6 linked regions of the Nothobranchius furzeri genome follow. The protein of the gene in region 1 binds, or shares a complex with, the protein of each later gene. Links are inferred from orthologs where the notes say so. Each region holds a gene or a part of one and is shown in the gene's direction. Other genes may lie near its edges. The genes, in order: rbl2, mybl1, lin52, tfdp1a, mybl2b and ogt.1.

Evidence for each region.
Region 2: rbl2 (region 1) and mybl1 share a complex: the UniProt entries of both Homo sapiens proteins name them as parts of the DREAM complex. The link is inferred for Nothobranchius furzeri from reciprocal best matches to the Homo sapiens genes RBL2 and MYBL1.
Region 3: rbl2 (region 1) and lin52 share a complex: the UniProt entries of both Homo sapiens proteins name them as parts of the DREAM complex. The link is inferred for Nothobranchius furzeri from reciprocal best matches to the Homo sapiens genes RBL2 and LIN52.
Region 4: rbl2 (region 1) and tfdp1a share a complex: the UniProt entries of both Homo sapiens proteins name them as parts of the DREAM complex. The link is inferred for Nothobranchius furzeri from reciprocal best matches to the Homo sapiens genes RBL2 and TFDP1.
Region 5: rbl2 (region 1) and mybl2b share a complex: the UniProt entries of both Homo sapiens proteins name them as parts of the DREAM complex. The link is inferred for Nothobranchius furzeri from reciprocal best matches to the Homo sapiens genes RBL2 and MYBL2.
Region 6: the proteins of rbl2 (region 1) and ogt.1 are in contact, whole or in part, in a crystal structure (PDB 4XI9), measured with the Homo sapiens proteins. The link is inferred for Nothobranchius furzeri from reciprocal best matches to the Homo sapiens genes RBL2 and OGT. Residues at the interface, in NP_001310537.1 of Homo sapiens: Thr417, Pro418, Val419, Ser420, Thr421, Ala422; in NP_858058.1 of Homo sapiens: His506, His508, His509, Asn567, His568, Pro569, Tyr642, Thr643, Lys644, Gln849, Phe878, Val905, Ala906.

The regions. Positions count from the first base shown.
Region 1 is NC_091744.1:80,493,796-80,497,295, forward strand, and holds part of rbl2 (retinoblastoma-like protein 2), read left to right. Parts: intron 1-1,572; coding exon 1,573-1,685; intron 1,686-1,746; coding exon 1,747-1,853; intron 1,854-1,981; coding exon 1,982-2,119; intron 2,120-2,479; coding exon 2,480-2,638; intron 2,639-2,912; coding exon 2,913-3,021; intron 3,022-3,095; coding exon 3,096-3,329; intron 3,330-3,404; coding exon 3,405-3,500. UniProt on the Homo sapiens protein: Key regulator of entry into cell division. Directly involved in heterochromatin formation by maintaining overall chromatin structure and, in particular, that of constitutive heterochromatin by stabilizing histone methylation.
Region 2 is NC_091747.1:51,688,069-51,691,568, reverse strand, and holds part of mybl1 (myb-related protein A), read left to right. Parts: intron 1-87; coding exon 88-308; intron 309-384; coding exon 385-574; intron 575-655; coding exon 656-730; intron 731-989; coding exon 990-1,100; intron 1,101-1,567; coding exon 1,568-1,807; intron 1,808-1,892; coding exon 1,893-2,237; intron 2,238-2,339; coding exon 2,340-2,464; intron 2,465-2,535; coding exon 2,536-2,650; intron 2,651-2,725; coding exon 2,726-2,842; intron 2,843-2,943; coding exon 2,944-3,048; intron 3,049-3,216; coding exon 3,217-3,405; intron 3,406-3,500. UniProt on the Homo sapiens protein: Transcription factor that specifically recognizes the sequence 5'-YAAC[GT]G-3'.
Region 3 is NC_091758.1:32,967,798-32,971,752, forward strand, and holds the start of lin52 (protein lin-52 homolog), read left to right. Parts: upstream 1-1,155; 5' UTR 1,156-1,238; coding exon 1,239-1,257; intron 1,258-2,499; coding exon 2,500-2,574; intron 2,575-2,649; coding exon 2,650-2,687; intron 2,688-2,781; coding exon 2,782-2,848; intron 2,849-3,030; coding exon 3,031-3,114; intron 3,115-3,955.
Region 4 is NC_091754.1:25,783,838-25,786,795, forward strand, and holds the end of tfdp1a (transcription factor Dp-1), read left to right. Parts: coding exon 1-77; intron 78-416; coding exon 417-538; intron 539-627; coding exon 628-793; intron 794-878; coding exon 879-1,025; intron 1,026-1,105; coding exon 1,106-1,174; intron 1,175-1,254; coding exon 1,255-1,406; intron 1,407-1,485; coding exon 1,486-1,652; intron 1,653-1,951; coding exon 1,952-2,030; intron 2,031-2,107; coding exon 2,108-2,246; 3' UTR 2,247-2,458; downstream 2,459-2,958. UniProt on the Homo sapiens protein: Can stimulate E2F-dependent transcription.
Region 5 is NC_091743.1:41,543,867-41,546,762, forward strand, and holds the end of mybl2b (v-myb avian myeloblastosis viral oncogene homolog-like 2b), read left to right. Parts: intron 1-1,247; coding exon 1,248-1,358; intron 1,359-1,433; coding exon 1,434-1,565; intron 1,566-1,642; coding exon 1,643-1,771; 3' UTR 1,772-2,396; downstream 2,397-2,896. UniProt on the Homo sapiens protein: Transcription factor involved in the regulation of cell survival, proliferation, and differentiation. Transactivates the expression of the CLU gene.
Region 6 is NC_091741.1:100,479,913-100,483,412, forward strand, and holds part of ogt.1 (UDP-N-acetylglucosamine--peptide N-acetylglucosaminyltransferase 110 kDa subunit), read left to right. Parts: intron 1-7; coding exon 8-87; intron 88-173; coding exon 174-369; intron 370-458; coding exon 459-599; intron 600-675; coding exon 676-776; intron 777-894; coding exon 895-1,048; intron 1,049-1,179; coding exon 1,180-1,281; intron 1,282-1,364; coding exon 1,365-1,562; intron 1,563-1,840; coding exon 1,841-1,999; intron 2,000-2,092; coding exon 2,093-2,182; intron 2,183-2,316; coding exon 2,317-2,442; intron 2,443-2,549; coding exon 2,550-2,720; intron 2,721-2,812; coding exon 2,813-2,929; intron 2,930-3,114; coding exon 3,115-3,285; intron 3,286-3,456; coding exon 3,457-3,500. UniProt on the Homo sapiens protein: Catalyzes the transfer of a single N-acetylglucosamine from UDP-GlcNAc to a serine or threonine residue in cytoplasmic and nuclear proteins resulting in their modification with a beta-linked N-acetylglucosamine (O-GlcNAc).

The DNA.
Region 1 (3,500 bases):
TTCTGACCGGACTAAGAGAACCCTCAGGTGTCAGGTTCTGATCCGCTAACCTCATTACTCCCACCCCACCATGTCTAAAGGGAATCACTTTGGAGATATTGTGCCGTATGGATGGTTTCGCTGGCATGACAAGTAATTCAGTGTAAGAGAGGTTGAGTTGGAGATGGTGGGATTTCACCCATCTTGATATGTCAGAGTCTGAGATTCGTTCAGAGACTCTGTGGTCGTCCAGCGGGAATGGCCGGTAGAGCTGGGTGTCATCAGCATAGCAGTGGTAGGAGAAGCCATGTGATTGAATGATCTCACCTAGTGAGGTGGTGTATATGGCAAAGAGAAGAGGTCCTAGTACAGAGCCCTGGGGGACTCCTGTGGCAAGATGGTGAACAGCAGAAATTGTCCGAGCCAAGATGCACTGAAAGATCGTCCTTTCAGGTACGATTCAAGCCAGGAGTGTGCTTTCCCTGCGATGCCCATGCTAGAGAGTGCGGACCAAAGGAAGCCGTGGTTGACAGTGTCAGATACAGCCGATAAGTTAGTTACATTTTAAACATGTCAGAAAGAGCGCGGCATGCGGGGAAATCCGTCCGTCCAACCAGTCATGGGCGTGCTGAATCAGCCTTTAGCTAACCTGTTAGCTTCAGGTTTTAGTCTCAGGGCTGCACTTAGAAGAAGAAGAAGAAGAAGAAGAAGAAGAAAATATTTCTATAGCGCCTCTCAAGATAAAAATCACGAGGCGCTTCACAAAAACAAAATATGTAAAAATATAAAAAAGCATTTAGAAAATGTTTAAAAATATATTAAAATGAGCAAAAATAGGCAATTGTAATTAAAAAAAATGTTAAGAAAGAGAGAGAGTGAATAGGAAAGAGGGAAATCAGTGGATCCTGAGGAAGGTGGAATAGGTGGGGAGAGCAGAATAAAGAGAGAGTGGTGAAGAAGGTCATACAAAAGCCAGCTTGAACAAGTGAGTCTTCAGCTGCTTTTTAAAGGAGACCATTGAGTCCACTGATCTCAGGCTCAGGGGGAGAGAGGTCCAGAGTCTAGACTTAGAGCACAGTTCGGTCAGATATCAGGTCCGTTTAGGTTCTAACTTGTGGATTCTTGTGGATTACGGCCAGCTCGGCACCGGTGAGGGAGTGTGCCTGATGAGTAAGCCACGTTTTATCTTGTGGGACTTTTTCTGAGGATGTGCACAGGTGTTACAGTGGTGCAGAGGTTAGGCATCCATTCTGTAAAGCCTAAAGGTCAGAGGTCAGCTCCACCACTGACCGTGCTGACAGCTGGGAACAGCTGTCTCTGCTGCAGTGCATTGTGGGTAAACACATCCACCTTGGTGTCTCCGTGGTTTGTTCAGGTAAAATGCTACCAATCTGAGCTGCTGTGACCTTTAGCCTCCCTGAAACTGAGTGTTGACCTTTGACCTTAGGGTGAACTTGCTGCTTTTCCAGGTTTGGTTTGGTGAAGCCGGTTTAAGGTTCTGGTGAGGTCCAGTTCTGATAGACTAAGCCTGACCTCTGACCTTTAACAATTTACATTGACTGGAAGTCTGGAGTGCGGCTGTTTCGGTTCCAGGGGCTGTTCCAGAGACCCCAGTGATGTCATCAGTCAGCGCCTGAAGGACATGTTAGACATCTTCACACAGCATCATGAGGACAGCACTGATGACAGCAAGGGGATGGAAAAAGGTGAGGACCTGAGCCCAGTGATCAGCTGATCTGCTGTCCCACCTGACCATGTGTTGTCCAGCAGACATGGCCGTCAAGTTCTTCCACCTGAGCGAGGCGCTGTACTACAGGATCCTGGAGTCCATCGTTGAGAGAGAAAAGATGATCCTGGGAGACGCTGACCTGTCTGTGAGTACAGTTCTGGTCTCAAGGTCTGGACTCCTGACCCAGGGCGTCTGGTCTGGACCGGGGAGGTTCTGTGTGTGATGGTTACCAGCTGTGACTGCACTGAACCATACCCCCTGTTGGTTCTGCAGTGTATTCTGGAGCAGGACGTGTTCCACCGCTCCCTGCTGGCCTGCTGCCTGGAGATCGTTACCTTCTCCTACAGACCTCCAGGAGACTTCCCCAGAGTCATCCACACCTTCCAGCTTCCTGCTTACCACTTCTATAAGGTACCAGCTGGCCCGACCCGTTCTCAGACTGAGTCCAGATTAGCCAATCAGGAAGCAGCATGCTGAGCTTCATCTCAGCTATCGGCACTAGTCAGCAGCATCTGCCAGACACTGCTCAAGACAACAATAATATAAACAACAATAATTGTAATAACAACTGTAATAATAATAATAATAATAATAATAACAACTATTTCATCATCTGATGAACGAACTAATACTCATAAAAACTCACGTTTACTGTGTGTGTGTGTGTGTGTGTGTGTGTGTGTGTGTGTGTGTGTGTGTGTGTGTGTGTGTGTGTGTGTGTGTGTGTGTGTGTGTGTGTGTGTGTGTGTGTGTGTGTGTGTGTGTGTGCAGGTGATTGAGGTGCTGGTCCGGTCGGAACAGGGTCTGTTTCGGGAGGTCGTGAAGCACCTGAACCAGGTGGAGGAGCAGGTTCTGGAGAGCCTGGCTTGGACCAGCAACTCCCCGCTGTGGCACAGTCTCCAGTCAGCCCAAGTCCCGACCTGCCAGGAGGTCCATGAGAACACAAACAGCACCTGGTTCTACTTCACCTGTAGAGATGATGTCATCTTCTTACTGAACAGATGATGTTGGAAACATTCAGAACCTTTTGTTTACCAAAGTCTCAGAGATATGAGGAGGCTTTAGGCTGCTCACAAATAAAATTCAGTGGTTCTGAAAGTTCTGTGGGTCAATCAGTGTGTGTGTGTGTGTGTGTGTGTGTGTGTGTGTGTGTGTGTGTGTGTGTGTGTGTGTGTGTGCACGTGTGTGTGCGTCTGCGTTTCAGGTGATGCCTCCTCAGTACCTGGAACAGAATGAAGACAGCGGTGGGGCTGGCATTGCCCTCACTCCAGCCTCACAGGGACCAGACCTCAGCACCAACAGCACCATCACAGGTGATTTGTCAGCCATCTTGTCTTACTCTTTTGTGTTTCTGTGTAGAAATAATTTGCCCCTCCGTCTTCTGAAGGCGTGTCCCCCTCCCCCACCACCCTGCAGGACCGGTATGGCTCCCCCCCCACAGGTGGATTTCGTCGCCGTCTGTTTGTTGACCCGACGGAGGGTGAGACCAGCGCCACAAGAACACCACCGAGCAGCGTCACAAAGCCGAGCCTCATTGCCACCATTCCGGCGGGGCAGACTGTAGTGGCGACCGCCACCGTCACGGCCAACAACGGGCAGACACTGACTATACCTGTGCAAGGTAAGGGACTCAAAACAATGAGTTAACTACAACAGGTGACCTGTAACTATGTGCTGACCTCTGACCTCTTTGTAGGGATACCCAATGAGAATGGAGGATTCACTTTCATCCCAGTGCAAGTGGGCGGGGCCACACTTCAGCCACTCCCTGCCCAGAACCTGACCAGCACTC
Region 2 (3,500 bases), on another chromosome or scaffold:
TTTTATTACAAGTGTTTACATAGAGCCTAATGAGCTTTGTTTATGCCCGGGCTATTTATAAATGCTTGTGGTTTGCTGTTGGTGCAGGTGATCGACTTGGTTCACAAGTATGGCCCCAAGCGCTGGTCCGTGATCGCAAAGCACCTCCAGGGAAGGATTGGGAAGCAGTGTCGGGAGCGTTGGCACAACCACCTGAACCCGGAGGTGAAGAAGTCTTCGTGGACTCAGGAGGAGGATCAAATTATCTACGAGGCTCACAAACGGCTGGGCAACCGCTGGGCAGAGATCTCCAAACTCCTTCCTGGACGGTAAAATAACACCATAGTGTTTTTATTTTCTTTCAGTCAGTAAATTTTAAAAGATGATCAATCCTTCCCTCAACAGGACAGACAATTCCATCAAGAACCACTGGAATTCCACCATGAGGAGGAAAGTGGAGCACGAGGGTTACCTGCAGGACGGCTGCAAGGCTTTCACCTCCAGTGGTGTCAAAAGACGTCACAGTAAAGCTCCAACACCAGCAGAACCCCCGCTATGTGACCGCAGCCCTCTTCCTGTGCCTGGGCCCAACCAGGTCTCCTTTCAGCCTTTACACTAAGAGGTCCATTGGCTTCTTTCATTTCTGCTCCTTTTCTGAGTTGCTGTTGTGTTACAGATGGCTGGATTTTCATACGATCCTGCCAGCGGACACATGATGGACAGCCTCTCTGAAAACCCCGGCTTCATGCTAGTGAGTCTTTCTATTTAAATCTCTTTTCACTCCTTTTATTCTCCTATCTCTACTGTTGTTGTGGTGATTGCTAACTTCGGACAAATCAAGCTAATCAAAAACTTGACTGTCCTGTTGTTTTCCGCTATCCCCGAATAATCGATTTGTGTCTAAATTTGTTTTGTTTTCTCTCCTTCACTAAAAAAAAACTTCTCAATTCTCCACTCTTTTTTTCCCCCTTCCTGTTTTCTTTTCCTACCCGGCCGTTTGTTTACTCCAGCCGTCCTGCCTGGATGATCCTGACAGAGAGCAAAGAATTAAGGAGCTTGAGCTTCTACTTATGTCAGCAGAAAGAGAAGTCCAGCGGCAAATGCAGTGCAGAGGTTCCTGTGTAAGAACACACTCCAAACGTGTGTTAGCAGACCTTGTTAGCATAGCCTGCGTGTGTCTGTAGCTCAATTACACTGTAAAAAAGCTAATTTCATTCAAAAAATACACACAATCACTAAGAAATCATTTAAAAATGAACATTTTTGTTGCTTATGAACTTTTTTGCAGTGTATACCCATGAAAACAAGAGTGGTGTGCATTTATTTGTGCCTATAGGCTGGTTTGCTATAGTGTTGCTATAGTAACTACTTTTCCCATCTTGCTGCTCACTCATCTTGCCCTGCGGCTGTGCTGTGTTGTCACCCCACCTCCTGCAGAAACCCCTGTAGTTCTGATCACTCCTTTCATCAACACTGAAACTTTTTCCACATCGCATCCTTAACTTGCTGCTAGTTTCATTTTGGACCAAAAAAAAAAAAAGTCCATCTGCGTCCTCAACACCAGTTGTTTTTCTGGCGACCCCCTCAGGGTGTGGATCCATACCCAGCCTGGTCAGACGGTGTGTCTGATGACGTCTTCGCCACAAGCAGCAGCAGCCTAGAAGAACCAGTGGAGAGGGAGCCCTGGAGGGGTCCAGAGATCTCGCCGGGGCCTCCGACACAGCTTCCTGTCTCCCCCAGTAAGTTCCTGTCTGTAGAGGCCAGCGCTGTGCTCTCCAGCCTGCAGACCATCCCGGAGTTTGCAGAAACCATGGAGCTCATCGATTCAGTGAGTAAAGAAAAAACAGGATTTTAAAAAACAAATCAGTTGTACATTTAAAGAAAAACTTTGACTGTAGATGTATTTTACTCAGCAGGATCCCGCTACGTGGAACAATGCGGCCGCTTTAGACTTGCCGAACACAACGCCGCCCCTCAGACAAAACCAAGCAGGCTACGCAAATCCCTTGCAAGAGAAGGCCGTTTACAATCTCATAGATTTCACCGCCAATGCTCCCAGTGTCGTCTCAGGCAGGAACGCTGCTCCTTTTGGTTTGGGGGGCGGCATCAACCCATCGAAACCCACCCAGGCATCCATCGGGAAGAAAAGGAGGAAAGACAGAGGGGAACCTCTGTGTGAAAGGATCTGTTCATCTTTTTTGGAGAACATCTCACCCAAGAAAACTCCCACAAAGTCGCAACATTTCACGCCATCGCGAGTAAATGAGCGCTGCTCTATTGTCTTCAAACCTCAAACCAGAATATTGCATCTTCCTACTGCCGTTGTATCAGTCATGCACCACATTTGTCTGTCTTGTCAGCTCTGCAACACATCAGGGATGGAGCACCTGAATCTGGATGATCCCACCCTGACGTCAACCCCCGTGTGCAGTCAGAGGTGCATCCTCAAAGGAGCTACGCCTAACCACCAGAAAGAGAATGATGGGTAAATAAGTGATCATTAAAGCTAGATTGTGCTTTTAATAAACTCTTACTATAATGACAACACTTGTGTAGTTCCAGGACTCCAAAAGTTCGTAAAAAAGCCGCCGTTCTAACCCCGAGAACTCCCACTCCCTTTAAAAACGCTCTGGCTGCTCAGGAGAAAATGCATGGCCCGCTGAGGTTGGAGGTAGGATTTGTTTTGTGTGTGGTTCGTTATATTCCTGATCAGTTTGCGTTGTAGTTTACATTCATCCTGTCGCAGCCACAGCCTTTGGCATTTCTCGAAGAGGACATTCGAGAAGTCCTGAAGCAGGAGACGGGAACGGACATCTTCCACAAAGCAGACTTCCAGCTGGACCACCGAGCGTGGAAGCACCATGTGAGTTTCACTCCTCAATCAGCTGTTTTTTGTTCTGTTTAAAAAAATAATTGAACCAAACCGGAGTGATCTAACACTGACAGCGACTCTTCTACATTTAGATGGACGGCCCGGCTAGAAAAGTGCGCAAGTCTCTTGTTTTAGACTCTTGGGAGAAGGACAGTCTCGATGTCCAACTCTTCCAGGAGCAACTCAACAATGCACTGGTAAGTCACTTAGGAAAACTATTTTTGTGTCCGCAATATAACAAGAATCATTAATAGCAAATAAAAGCACTGAGGTTTGTGTGACAGAAAATCTTCACTTTGATTGACCGTTCTGTTATAAAAGACTAAAACGTAAAAGTTTGACAAATGCCTGATGTCATATTGCAGTTGTCGGAGTCTCTGCTGACAAACTCTTCTTCACTGGTCGACCCTGAGCAAGAGAAACGTGGACAGGCTTTGCCTTCTAAGAAAGACGGTCCCTCTTTAGGAGTTCGCAGTCACGCTCAGCAGTTCTCTAGCCCTCCTATCAAGAAGGTATCTTCCTTGATTAAAGCACCAAAACCCGCTCACTCACAGGTGTGTATGAACAAAACATCAAATATTTTATTACAATCTAAAAGTTTCTGCATCCTTCTTGAAGTGTGTTTCTGTCTAAAAGTTATAAAGATCTC
Region 3 (3,955 bases), on another chromosome or scaffold:
ATAGATTTTTACAAGACGGACTTAGTAGAAACTCTTGCTCTATTTTTTAAAACACTTGTTTCGTTGAAAGAATGGAGAATGTGCGCCCTCTGCTGGCAAATAACAGAACAACACAGGTTTCCAACTGCATGCAGACAAGAAGGGAGTATTTGCTGCCCTCTAGTGTCTGAAATTTGATACTGCACATCCGATTTTTAAATCCATTTAGAAGGGAATATTTAGCCTCTTTAGATTTTTCAAAAATTCAATCACATATAGTTGCTAGCTCCGCTGGCAATAAATAGAACGACACTCTAATTTCCAACTGAAATCTGGTACTGCACGTTCCTTTTAGACATTCTGAAGAGAATATTTAGCCTCTTATTTTAATAAAGCTTAAAAAAAATCCATCTCTGTTTTAACTGCTAATAGCCCCAGCTATAGCTAATAGCTAAAATTTTGTTGTACACAGAAAAATAAAATAGATTTGCTGATTTTTAATTTTTAAGTAGTTTGTACAAGTGAACTAGGCCTGGGACGATAACAGATTTTGCAGGACAATATATTGTCCAACAAATTATTGCCAATAAACAATATTATTGTTGACATTATCGAGACCAAAATAATCACTTATATAATTTTAATATATCATAATAATGCAAGTACACCCTTTAAAATGCAGCAAATAAAACTCTTGTTAACATTAGAATGTTCAGAATCGAACTTCTAAATAAATGAATAAAACAAACAAACAAAAAAAAGAAATAAATAAAACGGACTTTCACTCACTGTTAGAAAATATTGCACCAAAAACCATAAAATAGATCCTGTATTGGGTCATCAAAGAAAAAGGGTTGGGAACCACTGACCCAGACTCTTCGAACTTGGACCAAATTGTTGTACACAGATAGCAAAATCTGTTCAACATAGATTGTGATATGTAAAACCACAGATCTATTTGTAAAAACACCGATTTTCTTTTCTTTCACAAATGTTGGAATGAAATTGTGTAAAATTGTACAAAATGTTGAAATGTATCTTGCCTGGCCATGGAACTCGCTGTGTGCTTAGCACCCCTAAACCTCTGATGCTAGGATCGCCCCTGACACTTATTATAAAATTATTAGTTTATTCATTTTACCCCCAGGAACACGGCTTTGGTGTGTAAGAGTGACCTCTTGTGGTGTGTTTGTGAATTTACAAGGCTTTGTCAACATTGACTCCTATTCGTTGTCACGGGTCACGTGATTATTGTGAAGATGGCGTCTCCGAATGGAGGTAAATTTTAATTCCTTACACAGATACGCTGTTAAAAAATGTAAAATTTAACACTTTAAATCACACAAATTATTCCACGAATGTATTGATGATGTAGCTGAACACCCAGAATTCAGAACTACACATATCAGCGTTGTAGTCCGACTTCTCGGAGGTGGTTTTGTTTGACTGAAGGCTCCACTAGCCCCGGTGTTGTTAGTCCACCAACGTTCAAGGAAGAACAGTAGACAGCTGGCTGCAGACCTTCCGTAACTCCTGATATTTTAAATACTACTAGCTTTTGAGTTGCCTCTTTGTTAAATACTGGCCTAATAATTAATATTTACGACATTTTTCCAACATTTTGAGGCATTATTTGTTTCACATCAACATATTTTGAAAGGTTTTTGAAAGGTTATATATATATATATATATATATATATATATATATATATATATATATATATATATATATATATATATATATATATATATATGTACACACACACACACTATGTAGGGTCATGTATTAGGAAGCATAATGCTAACACAAATTGTTACACTAAATATTGGTTTTAAGAATAGTTTTTGAATAATCAGCACACAGTTGTTGTCACAGCCTAGCAGAAATGGTTGTATAGGGACTTGAATCAAGCAACATTTAAAAATGAAAGGTATGATAAATAAACTAAACCTCCCAAATATTAGTAATTTTTTTAAGAACAGCTGATTAATCAGTATTTATCTTGTACACATATTTTGTTTTAATACAGCCAACATATTGTATTAACTGTTGTGGTTACATTTTGACATTTGTTTGGCTGTAGTCATATGGGCCATTCCCATCTGTACCGGGTCGGTCCGGGCCGGGTAGCGTTGGTTGTTTACATATCTGGGTGGCCTGGTATTTTTCCGGACCAACCAAGGCTCATTCTCAGCCCTCTTCTCGAGGGGGTCTGCTTCAGGCCGACCAGGGCCAACACACCCACTGCTGACAGCAAATTCACACCTTCCATTAGAGCAAGCCTCTGATTGGTGGGTAGAATCAGCCCACATGGGCGTAAGACAAGGATGTGTGGAATCAACCGGGCCAGGATGGGGCCGACTGGGGCTACCCGGCCCGGGCCGACCCGGTACAGATGGGAATGGTCCATAAGTCACACATTTTACTTGTATTTACATCAAGAAGATCACATTTTGTTCTAAAGCTCTGAAATTTCTGCCTGAATTCTGAACATAATTTTACTTCCTTTTCTTTGCCAGGTGATGATTTTGAAAGCTCTTTGCTTAGTTTAGAAAAGCTGGACAGAGCGTCACCAGACCTGTGGCCTGAGCAGTGTAAGTTTTCATCTCCTCTGTGCTTCTTTATGGTCCCACAGTTTAACCTTATCTGTCCTGTCATTTCTCACACAGTACCCGGAGTTGCAGAATTTGCTGCATCCTATAAAAACGTAAGATACGTTTTTTGTCATTAACTGAGATTAATACATTAAATAATCATTTAGATTTGGCATTGCCGTATAATATCATTTATTTTTATTACAGCCCATTACAAGCTCACCCCCTAAGTGGATGGCTGAATTGGAAAGCGAGGACATCGAGATGTTAAAAGGTTGGTACAATTGTTTTTTTTTTTAATATATGTTTAATTAGAAAGATTTTCTCTGTGCCTGCAGCGTTTCATGTTAAAACTGTTGTACTGGTTAGTGTTTCCATAAATATATAATCTTGTCAAGGAGAAACTGAGTTGATCAAACTGGAGCTTAAAATCTTTGCCTTGTAATCACTCTGCAGAGCTGGGTAGTCTGACAACAGCTAACCTGATGGAGAAGGTCAAAGGACTTCAGAACCTGGCTTACCAGCTGGGTTTAGAGGAGTGTAAGTACAAAACACACAAACAACATGAAAACATAGGCTGTGATGTGTTCGTGTAGTTTTTAGTTTTCCCAATCAGCTGTTTACGTCTATCACCACCAGGTGGTGCTAGTAGCCTTTCCACTACTACGTTTAGTTGCAGAATCAGATTTACTTTTTGTTTGTTCAAAATAGGCTAAAATCACATGGATGTTATTTATTATTCAAAATCAGAGTAGATGTTATTGAAAGTGCAATTGTAATTTAGAGTCTGCATAAAACAGGTTGGCCGTAAGATCTTTAAAACAAGGATTTAGGTCAGTCTTGTTAAATGTAAACAAGTAAGAAATGAGTGCATGCCACCAAGAGCTCACACAAGCAAATGCTCAAGAATATGATGGATGCACAAGCTCTTGTTTTAATCCATTCCCTCCCGCCTCCATTGTAATAATCCTTCTGGAGTGTGGATTAGAGAGATGTAGCTAAGTGCTGATATTATCCTAAAAGAAGATAAAAATGTTTTTAATGTTTCTAGCGTAAGAGAATCGTTGTACACCTCCTCTTCAGCGACATGTGTAAATAAACTGAAATGGTAGCAAATTGTGTAAAATAATGTGAGTTTAAACAGCAGGGTAGATGGCAGCCATGATGTCGGTTCTTTAATGATAATAAATAGTTTGTAGAAGGTTTAATAAAACTTTAATGCCACTTTAACAAGAAAATGTTCATCTATAATAAAAAAATCACCCCAGAGTGATCTACATTTGGTGGTAAAGCAAATCAATATTTTAATGTTGCAGAAATCAGATTGATTCATTTTGTGAAATAATTAATTTTAGAAATGATTTGTTTGCCTTGCCTCCAG
Region 4 (2,958 bases), on another chromosome or scaffold:
CCAAGCAGCTACTACCCAAAACCCTTGGGCCGTCTAACGTTAATGTTGCCACACACATGCAACATTTGCCACACATGGTGAGTGCGTGTGCTCTGTCTGACACTTTTCCAGAACGGTTACATATGTCCTGCATGCTGCTTTTGTCCACACCTCCTTGCTGTTGTGTAAGCCCCCTCCCATTACTGCTGGGAGGTGGAGGCACTTGATCCTAAGCTTATCAACTCTACAGTCAGCAGGATTACACCCATCATCTCATTATGTAGAAGAAATGTATACACAACGGAAATCAGCTTACAGATCACCTGTCTCCTACATCAGATTATTATTAATTTGGGACAAATTGTTGCTTTGATCATTCATCAGATGTATTTGCACGCACGTTATTGTCTTACTGTCTCATCCTCTGCTCTCTTTAGGTTATTGGAACCCCTCAGAGGCCAACAGTATCAAATACTATTTTAGTAAACAGTCCACACACACCAAGTTCTCAGTTCCTCACTCAGAGTCAACCCGCTGATGCTTCTCCTTGGTCATCAGGGTAAGACCTCGAATAGTTCAGTCGTTTTTATTTCTTTTACTTTACACAAGTTTTAGAAGCAAACTATGTGTAACTTGTTCTGTAAACAGAAAACGGGGTAAGAAGGGGGAGAAGAATGGGAAAGGCTTGAGGCATTTCTCCATGAAAGTGTGTGAGAAGGTGCAGAAGAAGGGAGTGACCACCTACAATGAGGTGGCAGACGAGCTGGTGGCAGAATTCAGTTCTTCAGACAACCACATGTCGCCGAATGACTCGGTGAGCGCTGCAGCTTTTATTTTACACACAAAACTCAGAGACGTTTTTTTTTTTTTAACGCTGACCCACGTGTTTTCCATCCCAGCACGTATACGACCAGAAGAACATTCGGCGGCGTGTTTACGATGCGCTGAACGTGCTCATGGCCATGAACATCATCTCGAAAGAGAAGAAAGAAATCAAGTGGATCGGCTTGCCCACTAACTCGGCTCAGGAGTGCCAAAATTTAGAGGTGGAGATTCAAATCAAAGGCTTTTGTCTTCTTTTTACGTAACAAGCCGTTCTGAACAACTATCTCCGTCATGCCTCCAGGTGGAGAGACAACGGCGACTGGAGAGGATTAAGCAGAAACAGTCACAGCTTCAGGAGCTCATACTTCAGGTGGGAATGGCGATAGAGCTTCACCAACACCTCAGCGATTAAAGATGCATTTGTCTGATTAAATGTTTTATATTTTACAGCAAATAGCCTTTAAGAACCTCGTTCAGAGGAACCGACAGACAGAGCAGCAAGCAAACAGGCCCCCGCCTCCTAACTCCATCATCCACCTTCCCTTCATAATAGTCAACACTAGCAAGAAGACGGTGATCGACTGCAGCATCTCTAATGACAAGTACGTGATCATCTGCGTACATTCGAACTGGAGAATTTTAGCCCCAATTTATTGTGCGTCTTTTTTTCTCCGTCTCCAGGTTCGAGTATTTGTTCAATTTCGACAGCATGTTTGAGATCCACGATGACATCGAGGTGCTGAAGCGCATGGGCATGGCCTGTGGTCTGGAGGTGGGGAAGTGTTCAGCAGAGGACCTGAAGGTGGCACGCAGCCTGGTGCCCAAAGCTCTGGAGCCTTACGTTATCGGTTCGTACGTCATGGTGTAAACGGCCAGGGTTTTTGTTGATGCTTCAGGACAACGTTGAGATGTTGTCTCTTTTAGAGCCTGATATGTGTTTAGGGACCTCCTCCCCTCAGTAATCCTGGGGTAAAGGAGCTTTTTCTGGTTGCAGGAAGCCCTCCCTCTGTCCCGAAGCTGCAGTAATAGTTAGGAAAGGTCTAAACATGTCAAGCAGCATGTTGCAGGTTCTGACACGTACAGTGAAGCGTCTGTGTTCACTCAGGAACGATTGGACGTCTACATTAAATATGGTTCCTTCTCACAGAGATGGCGAAAGGTCCCATCAGTAACGTGTACATCACAGGAGGATCCTCAGCCAACGGCGCTCGTTACACTGCCAGCAGGTAGGAAGTCGTACCTAAGATGGGAACGTTTCCCGTTTCAACCTGGTCCCTTTTTAACCCGGTTTCTCCGTTTCTAGTGACGGCTGCACCGACGGCACCATGGCGTCCAGCTCCAACGACTCTCACTACAGCGGCTCTCGCGTGGAGACCCCGGTGTCTTACATGGGGGACGACGATGATGAGGATGAATACGAGGAGAACGACGATGAAGACTAACCGCGCTACATGTCCCCACTCCAACAAGCACAGTCCTCCAAACAGCAGTCACAGCGGCGATCTGGTCCCTTTTAGTGTGTGTGTGCTTCCTTCCCAAGCCCCCCCCCGTCCACGCTCGTGTTTCTGTCTGGTCTTCTCAGGGGTGTAGATGAATTCTGAAAGAACAGAGGAGTTGTTTGTTTATATTTTCCTGTTTATTTGTTGTTTCCACCCCCCCGCTGACTCACATGCTCCTGCACCACACCTACGATCTGCGGGAACCGTCGTCTGTGATCCTTTTTCAACAAGCCATCCCACTCTCCGCTCTCTGTAAAAGCTGTTGCTGTTGGAGAATGTAAAGTGTATTTGTTTGAATAGTTATTATTTTACTGTCACGATGGATATTATGATCAAAATGTTCCGTTAATGTCTGCTGTGTTAGCGCGCCGTGGATCCTGATGGCTGTTGGGGCGGTTTGAAATAGTTTCTTATTCCCATTGCGTTGGGTTGGCTTCCGTATGTTTCGTAGGCAGCTGCTTTCTGATCTTGTTAGTATGTTTTTTTTTTTTTTTTTGTATTCTGGAGTTGAGAAGCTGTCCCATCACCACCCTGTTGACGCCTTTGGTAGTGTTTACAAATAAACGGCTGAAGCGAGGTAAAGCTCCTAGGTAATTCAGCTTTGTTAATTACATATAAATCCTACCACCATTGTAGCTCATAGTGTCCTTTAGAG
Region 5 (2,896 bases), on another chromosome or scaffold:
ATTTAAACCAAAAACATGTTTTGGTACCAGGCTGTGAACATGTTTATTTCTGCTGTGAAATTGGTATTTTTAACATGGGAGTCAATGAGGATTTGCTCGCTTCTGACACCAGCCCCTAGTGGATGAGGGTGGAACTGCAATTTTTGGTATTTCCGGGTTGGACTCAAATTTTAGAGCAGCATTGTGGGGGCTTGGTCCATGCGTATGAGCAGCATCTAGTGGTAGAACTCCACACATGTTCCTCATCTCTGAATTATTTCACCCAATAAACAATTCTAGCGGTGGAAAATCAGTTTTTTCGCGCCCGACTGGCGCCAAAACCTGTAAGAGACACCTGTGACTGACAGGAGCATGGCTGATCTGTGTTATCTGAGGATTTGGCAGAATGTGCACTCCGGCGCGTCCTCCGTGAGCGCACGGATCTCCCCGAAAGGGATCCTTCTGGAGCTGTCGTGGTTACAGACCACACACATCCGACTCTAGCACATTCAGTTGTTTACAACTAAGAGAAGAACCCGTCCAGAACCTCCTCTGCTGCCCCGTCATACGCAGCGTGTCGTCGTGGTAACCAGACTGAGTGGCAGCTCAGAGGAGGCTGCACTCGGACAACAAAGGTTTCCAAACCGAACATGCAGACAACTCTTTGATGTCAACGGTAAATGACAGCAGAGTGACAGGATGTCTCCTCTGGCCCACGTTTATAAATTTTTGGGGAGGAATGCAGGGATTCCTCTCATGAGCTGAAGACACGGTGTGACCAAATATGGTTAATTGAGGGTGTTTCTGTATGTAAATGATGGTGAACAAACACGAGCACAGGTGAGATTTATCATCAGGTGATAGAGGAGGAACGAGAAGCCATCTGCGTTCGTATGAGCAGGAATTTAGAAATATTCTACGAACGTTTGATGCGTACAGCTCCTGGACTCCACCCCGACTCTAGGTGTCAGTCAGCAGCGGTACAGCCGAGTTCTGCAGATGTTCTCTTGAGTCTTCTAAAACGCCGTTGAGCTCTGTTACAGAACACTCACCCACGGGTCTGCTGCCTCGTCTCGTTGCACCAAACTAAAAGCTTCCTGGAATGTCTTCATGAGTTTGGCTAAAGTGGAGCTGGATCTTTAGTCCTCAGCTCCTCACAAGGAGGAACAGGTGGTTCCAGACTGGAGATGCATCAGACCACAGGATAAACTTGTGATCAGCTGATCTGGAACTGTAACTGTAGCTTTGATTTGTCACCCCGCCTGCAGCATCGCCCTCCGATGAAGAAGGTGCGGAAGTCGCTGGCCCTGGACGTCATGGAGGTGAATCCTCCATCCAAACGCAAATCCGGCAAGATGGAGGCCAGACGCACCATCAAGGTGGAATGTGTAAATAAACAAAAGGTTCAGTCGTCTGTAGATGTGAGTTCTGATGTTTTTGCCTCCTGCTCACAGGAGGAACCCGTCACCGTTCCTCTCAACTCCTCATCGTTCCGGAGCAGGAGACATGAAAGCATTCTGGACCAGGGGTTCCTGCTGGGGCCAAGTGACAGCGCCATATTTCCCAGTTCACTGCCTCCACTTCCTGTAAGTCATCCCCTCCCAGTATGACCTCAGCACCAGTGTACGTAGTTCTGATCTGAAGCTGGTTTCTCTTTCCACAGATGTCCAGGGAGTGGGAGAAAGTCGTTTGTGGACAAACTAAAGATCAGCTGATAATGACGGAGAAAGCAAGGCGCTACCTTCGCTCTCTGAAACGCAGCGCTCCAAACCGGGCTTTGGTTCTGTCCTGAGTTCGGTTGCCACGCCAACGTGGGCAGAGACCGGCGACTACAGGGTTCAAAGAAATGACCCGTTTGAGAGTGTGGTGCTTCTAGATGTAGGCTAATCATTGTTGATTTCAAATGTTAGAAAAGAACTTTGAATGTAAAAACAAGGAATCAAGATTGTAACATTTTGTAAAAATTGTGGTTTTATGAATCTGGAAAGTGTTTTTGTACTGTTGTGAACAAAAAAAAAAACCCTCAGGAAACATCTTCACATCAGTTTTACTGCAGAACATGTTCACCATAAGTAGAATTAAAACCTCAAGTCTCACAAATTACATCCCACTGCAACCCTAACAGCAACTTATCAATATTTTAAAAATGTGACCTGTTTTTATACAGTAAAGGTTGTGTAGAAGACCTGTTCTGACCACTGTTTGCATAATGCGTTGTTATTTAGCAATATTTGTAAATATAATTAGAGTTGGGTATTATCTCACTCATGTAATAGATGGGTTTAATGAAAACATCTATTTTTCCAGAATGTTTGTTCTATTATTTTTCCACACTTTAACTGCTTAAAGGCTTCAGTAAAACCAACCAAGTGACAGAGGATGGCAAACTGATAAAATAAAATATATGATTCCTGCCAGATAATTCAATTTGAGTAATGTAACTTTAGATCAGCAACTATTTATCAAATCAGACTTAACAAAACAATAACAGAGTGCTTTGAAATGGATGTGGTTAAAAATACAAAAGTGCAAAGTGGTCTATTTGATTCTGTTTATTTCCCAGAACATTGATGAACTTGGATCTGCGATAAAACAAATTGCCACATCAGGAATTGACTATCTTTTTACCCTGCTTTTATTTTGAAATGCTGCTTTTATGTTGCAACCATGGGCATGGTAACAACAGCCTAAAATCTCATTAGTGAATTACTCTGTTTAAAACATCTGTTCAGTGTTACACGTATGAGTTACATTAGATGATTTTAAGAACTTGAGCTGCTTTGAGCATGTACATGACACAAGAATTTCCCTCGGGATAAATAAAGTTGTTCTTATCTAAACTTCACTGAAGAACCAGTGGTGGCGCTATAGCTACCCCTGGATTAGTCATTGCACCCCCAATTTTAATTTAACGTGT
Region 6 (3,500 bases), on another chromosome or scaffold:
TTTACAGGCAGTGACTCTGGACCCAAACTTCCTTGATGCATACATTAATTTAGGCAACGTTCTGAAAGAAGCCCGCATCTTTGACAGGTGAGTCTAAAATTTCACTCAAAACATTGAAAACATCAGGCTGTCCAGTTTCAGTCTATCTGAAAAGACTAATCGTGATATTTCAGAGCTGTGGCTGCGTATCTGAGAGCCCTGAGTCTAAGTCCCAACCATGCAGTTGTTCATGGAAACCTGGCGTGCGTCTACTACGAGCAGGGCCTCATTGACCTCGCCATCGACACCTACCGCCGTGCTATCGAACTGCAGCCTCACTTTCCCGACGCTTACTGCAACTTGGCCAACGCCCTAAAGGAGAAAGGCAATGTATGGAACGCCTTTCTGTTCTAAATAAAACAGCTTTTAGTTATTGTCAGTAGTCATTTATAAAATAGTTTTTCTGAATGTTTTTTAAGGTATCTGAAGCAGAAGAGTGCTACAACACAGCTTTGCGCCTGTGTCCAACTCACGCGGACTCCCTCAACAACTTGGCCAACATAAAGCGTGAGCAGGGCAACATCGAGGAGGCGGTCCAGCTCTACAGAAAAGCCTTGGAGGTGAGTTGACTCCAGTGCTCCTGTTCTTGTTATTGGGTTTGCTACACTTGTGAGCTCTAATGCTGTTTTTCATTAGGTGTTCCCAGAGTTCGCAGCAGCTCACTCTAACCTTGCCAGCGTGCTGCAGCAGCAGGGGAAACTACAGGAGGCCCTCATGCACTACAAGGAGGCCATCAGGTCAGTAGCTACTGACCACATTCTGTTAACTCTCACAACAGATGCATGAGATAGTCTTAAACACACGATTGTTAGTCAGTTGACTCTAGAGCTTAATCTTCGTCTGTAACGGTTTCAGAATCAGCCCGACATTTGCTGATGCTTATTCCAACATGGGCAACACACTAAAGGAGATGCAAGATGTACAGGGAGCGCTGCAGTGCTACACTCGTGCCATCCAGATCAACCCGGCCTTTGCTGATGCTCACAGCAATCTGGCCTCCATCCACAAAGTAAGAATAACCCTTTTTATTTGTCTCGGGCATGTATCGCATCAAAACAAAACCTGAACTCATTACTGAAAGTTTTAGACGTTTTCACTGTTTGTGCAACTTTTAATTAACCTTTTGAATGTGTTGATTAGGATTCTGGAAACATCCCAGAGGCCATTGCATCGTATCGCACAGCCTTGAAACTCAAACCAGACTTCCCTGATGCGTACTGCAACTTGGCACATTGCTTACAGGTTATTATTTTTTTCACTTCACGCCTACGTGTGTAAAACCTGGAGTAAATACTTGTAATCTCATCATCTTGCCACTTTCTCAGATTGTGTGTGACTGGACCGATTATGATGAACGGATGAAGAAGCTTGTGAGCATCGTGGCCGACCAGCTAGAAAAGAACCGCTTGCCCTCGGTGCACCCGCACCACAGCATGCTGTATCCGCTGTCTCACGGCTTCCGCAAAGCCATTGCCGAGCGCCACGGCAACCTTTGCCTGGACAAGGTACTCGCACTGATCAAAGCAAGTAACGTTTAAATTACTCTTTTGGGTGGGTGTGAGGTGGTTGGTGATGGCAGGGCCTGGTTGCGGGGATAGGTAAGGGATGAGCACCACTTATAATGTTTTACTATGAGGATAAGAAACTAAACAGCTGGTGGTTACTGGGCTGCTTATGGTGGGTGAGGGTTTGGCTCAGGGATTAACTTTTTTGGTTAAACAATAAAACTTTATAACAGTAATTTTGGCGTTAGATTCTCTCTTGCTTTGGTTGTAATCTCATATTGTTGCCCGTTCCACAGATCAATGCACTACACAAACCAGCCTATGAGCACCCGAAGGACCTGAAGGCCAGTGGTGGACGCCTGCGGATCGGATACGTCAGTTCTGACTTTGGTAACCACCCAACTTCCCACCTGATGCAGTCAATCCCTGGAATGCACAATCCTGAAAAATTTGAGGTAGATTCTTGTTTTAGTTTTGTTCAAGAATTCAACATTTACTTTGTTTTGTTTTGATGTAAACAGTGGTTTAAATCTCTGATGTGTCTGCAGGTGTTCTGCTATGCACTTAGCCCTGATGACGGTACCAACTTCCGTGTGAAAGTGGTGGCAGAAGCTCATCACTTCACAGACCTCTCCCAGGTATCTTCAGTGACTTTGAGCCACATGACTTATTTTGCAGGAGTTTGGTGAAAACCCAAAAATAATTTTATATTTATTGCTTTTAAAACAAAGCACATAATTTTTGCTGAAGCTCTTTTATCTTTTGACTCCAGGTTCCTTGCAATGGGAAGGCTGCTGATCGGATTCACCAGGACGGAGTCCACATTCTGGTCAACATGAACGGATACACCAAGGGTGCCAGAAATGAGCTGTTTGCTCTGCGTCCTGCCCCCGTTCAGGTGAGCTGCTGCTCACAGAGCTCTGGAACCAACCTAGCAGCCAACCCCGTGGTGCTGATGAGTGTCCTAGTCAGCTGCTGTAAACTCGCCTTGCTTTCATTTACCAGGCTATGTGGCTCGGTTACCCTGGGACCAGCGGGGCTGCCTTCATGGACTACATCATCTCAGACAAGGAGACGTCACCTGTAGAAGTAGCTGAGCAGTACTCTGAGAAGCTTGCCTACATGCCCCATACCTTCTTCATTGGAGATCATGCCAACATGTTCCCTCACCTCAAGGTCTGACCTTCCTTCCAGTGCAGAGAGACTCAAGTTTGTGTTTTTAGCTGTTTGTTTCTTAAACAAGAAACAATGTCTTGTTTAACCCACAGAAAAAAGCCGTGATTGATTTTAAGTCAAATGGACACATCTTCGACAACAGAATTGTTCTTAATGGTATTGATCTGAAAGCCTTCTTGGACAGCCTCCCAGATGTTAAAGTGATAAAAGTGAGTAAAAGCATGACAGTAAGTGTTTGATCAACCTGCAGTCACTATTTCACTGTTAACCTGTGTTGCTTGAAAGGGCAGAAATAAAAACTTTAATCTGACTCGGGAGAAGACACATGTGGCCTTGTTTTAAGAAACACTTTGAAAAGTTTAAGTTTTATGGATAAGCCGTTTTCTGTGACCAGATGAAGTGCGACAACAACCAGGAATCTGCTGGAGACACAAATGGAGCTTTGTCCATGCCCGTGATTCCCATGAACACAGCGGCAGAAGCCATCATCAACATGATCAATCAAGGCCAGATCCAGGTCACAATCAACAACTTCACAGTCAGCAACGGCCTGGCCACCACACAGGTACGATTCATGTGGACACAGCAGAATCTCGATGGCATGGACCAAAAGTATGCTCATGTAGGAAGTCAAAGTTTATTTTGCTGCTTTTTAGGTCTTTTTTTCTCACTTTCTTTTCTATTTTAATTTGTGTAAAACCATAAAGGATGAATAATAACTAGAAATATGATGCAGATCAATAACAAAGCTGCAACTGGGGAGGAGGTTCTACGCACCGT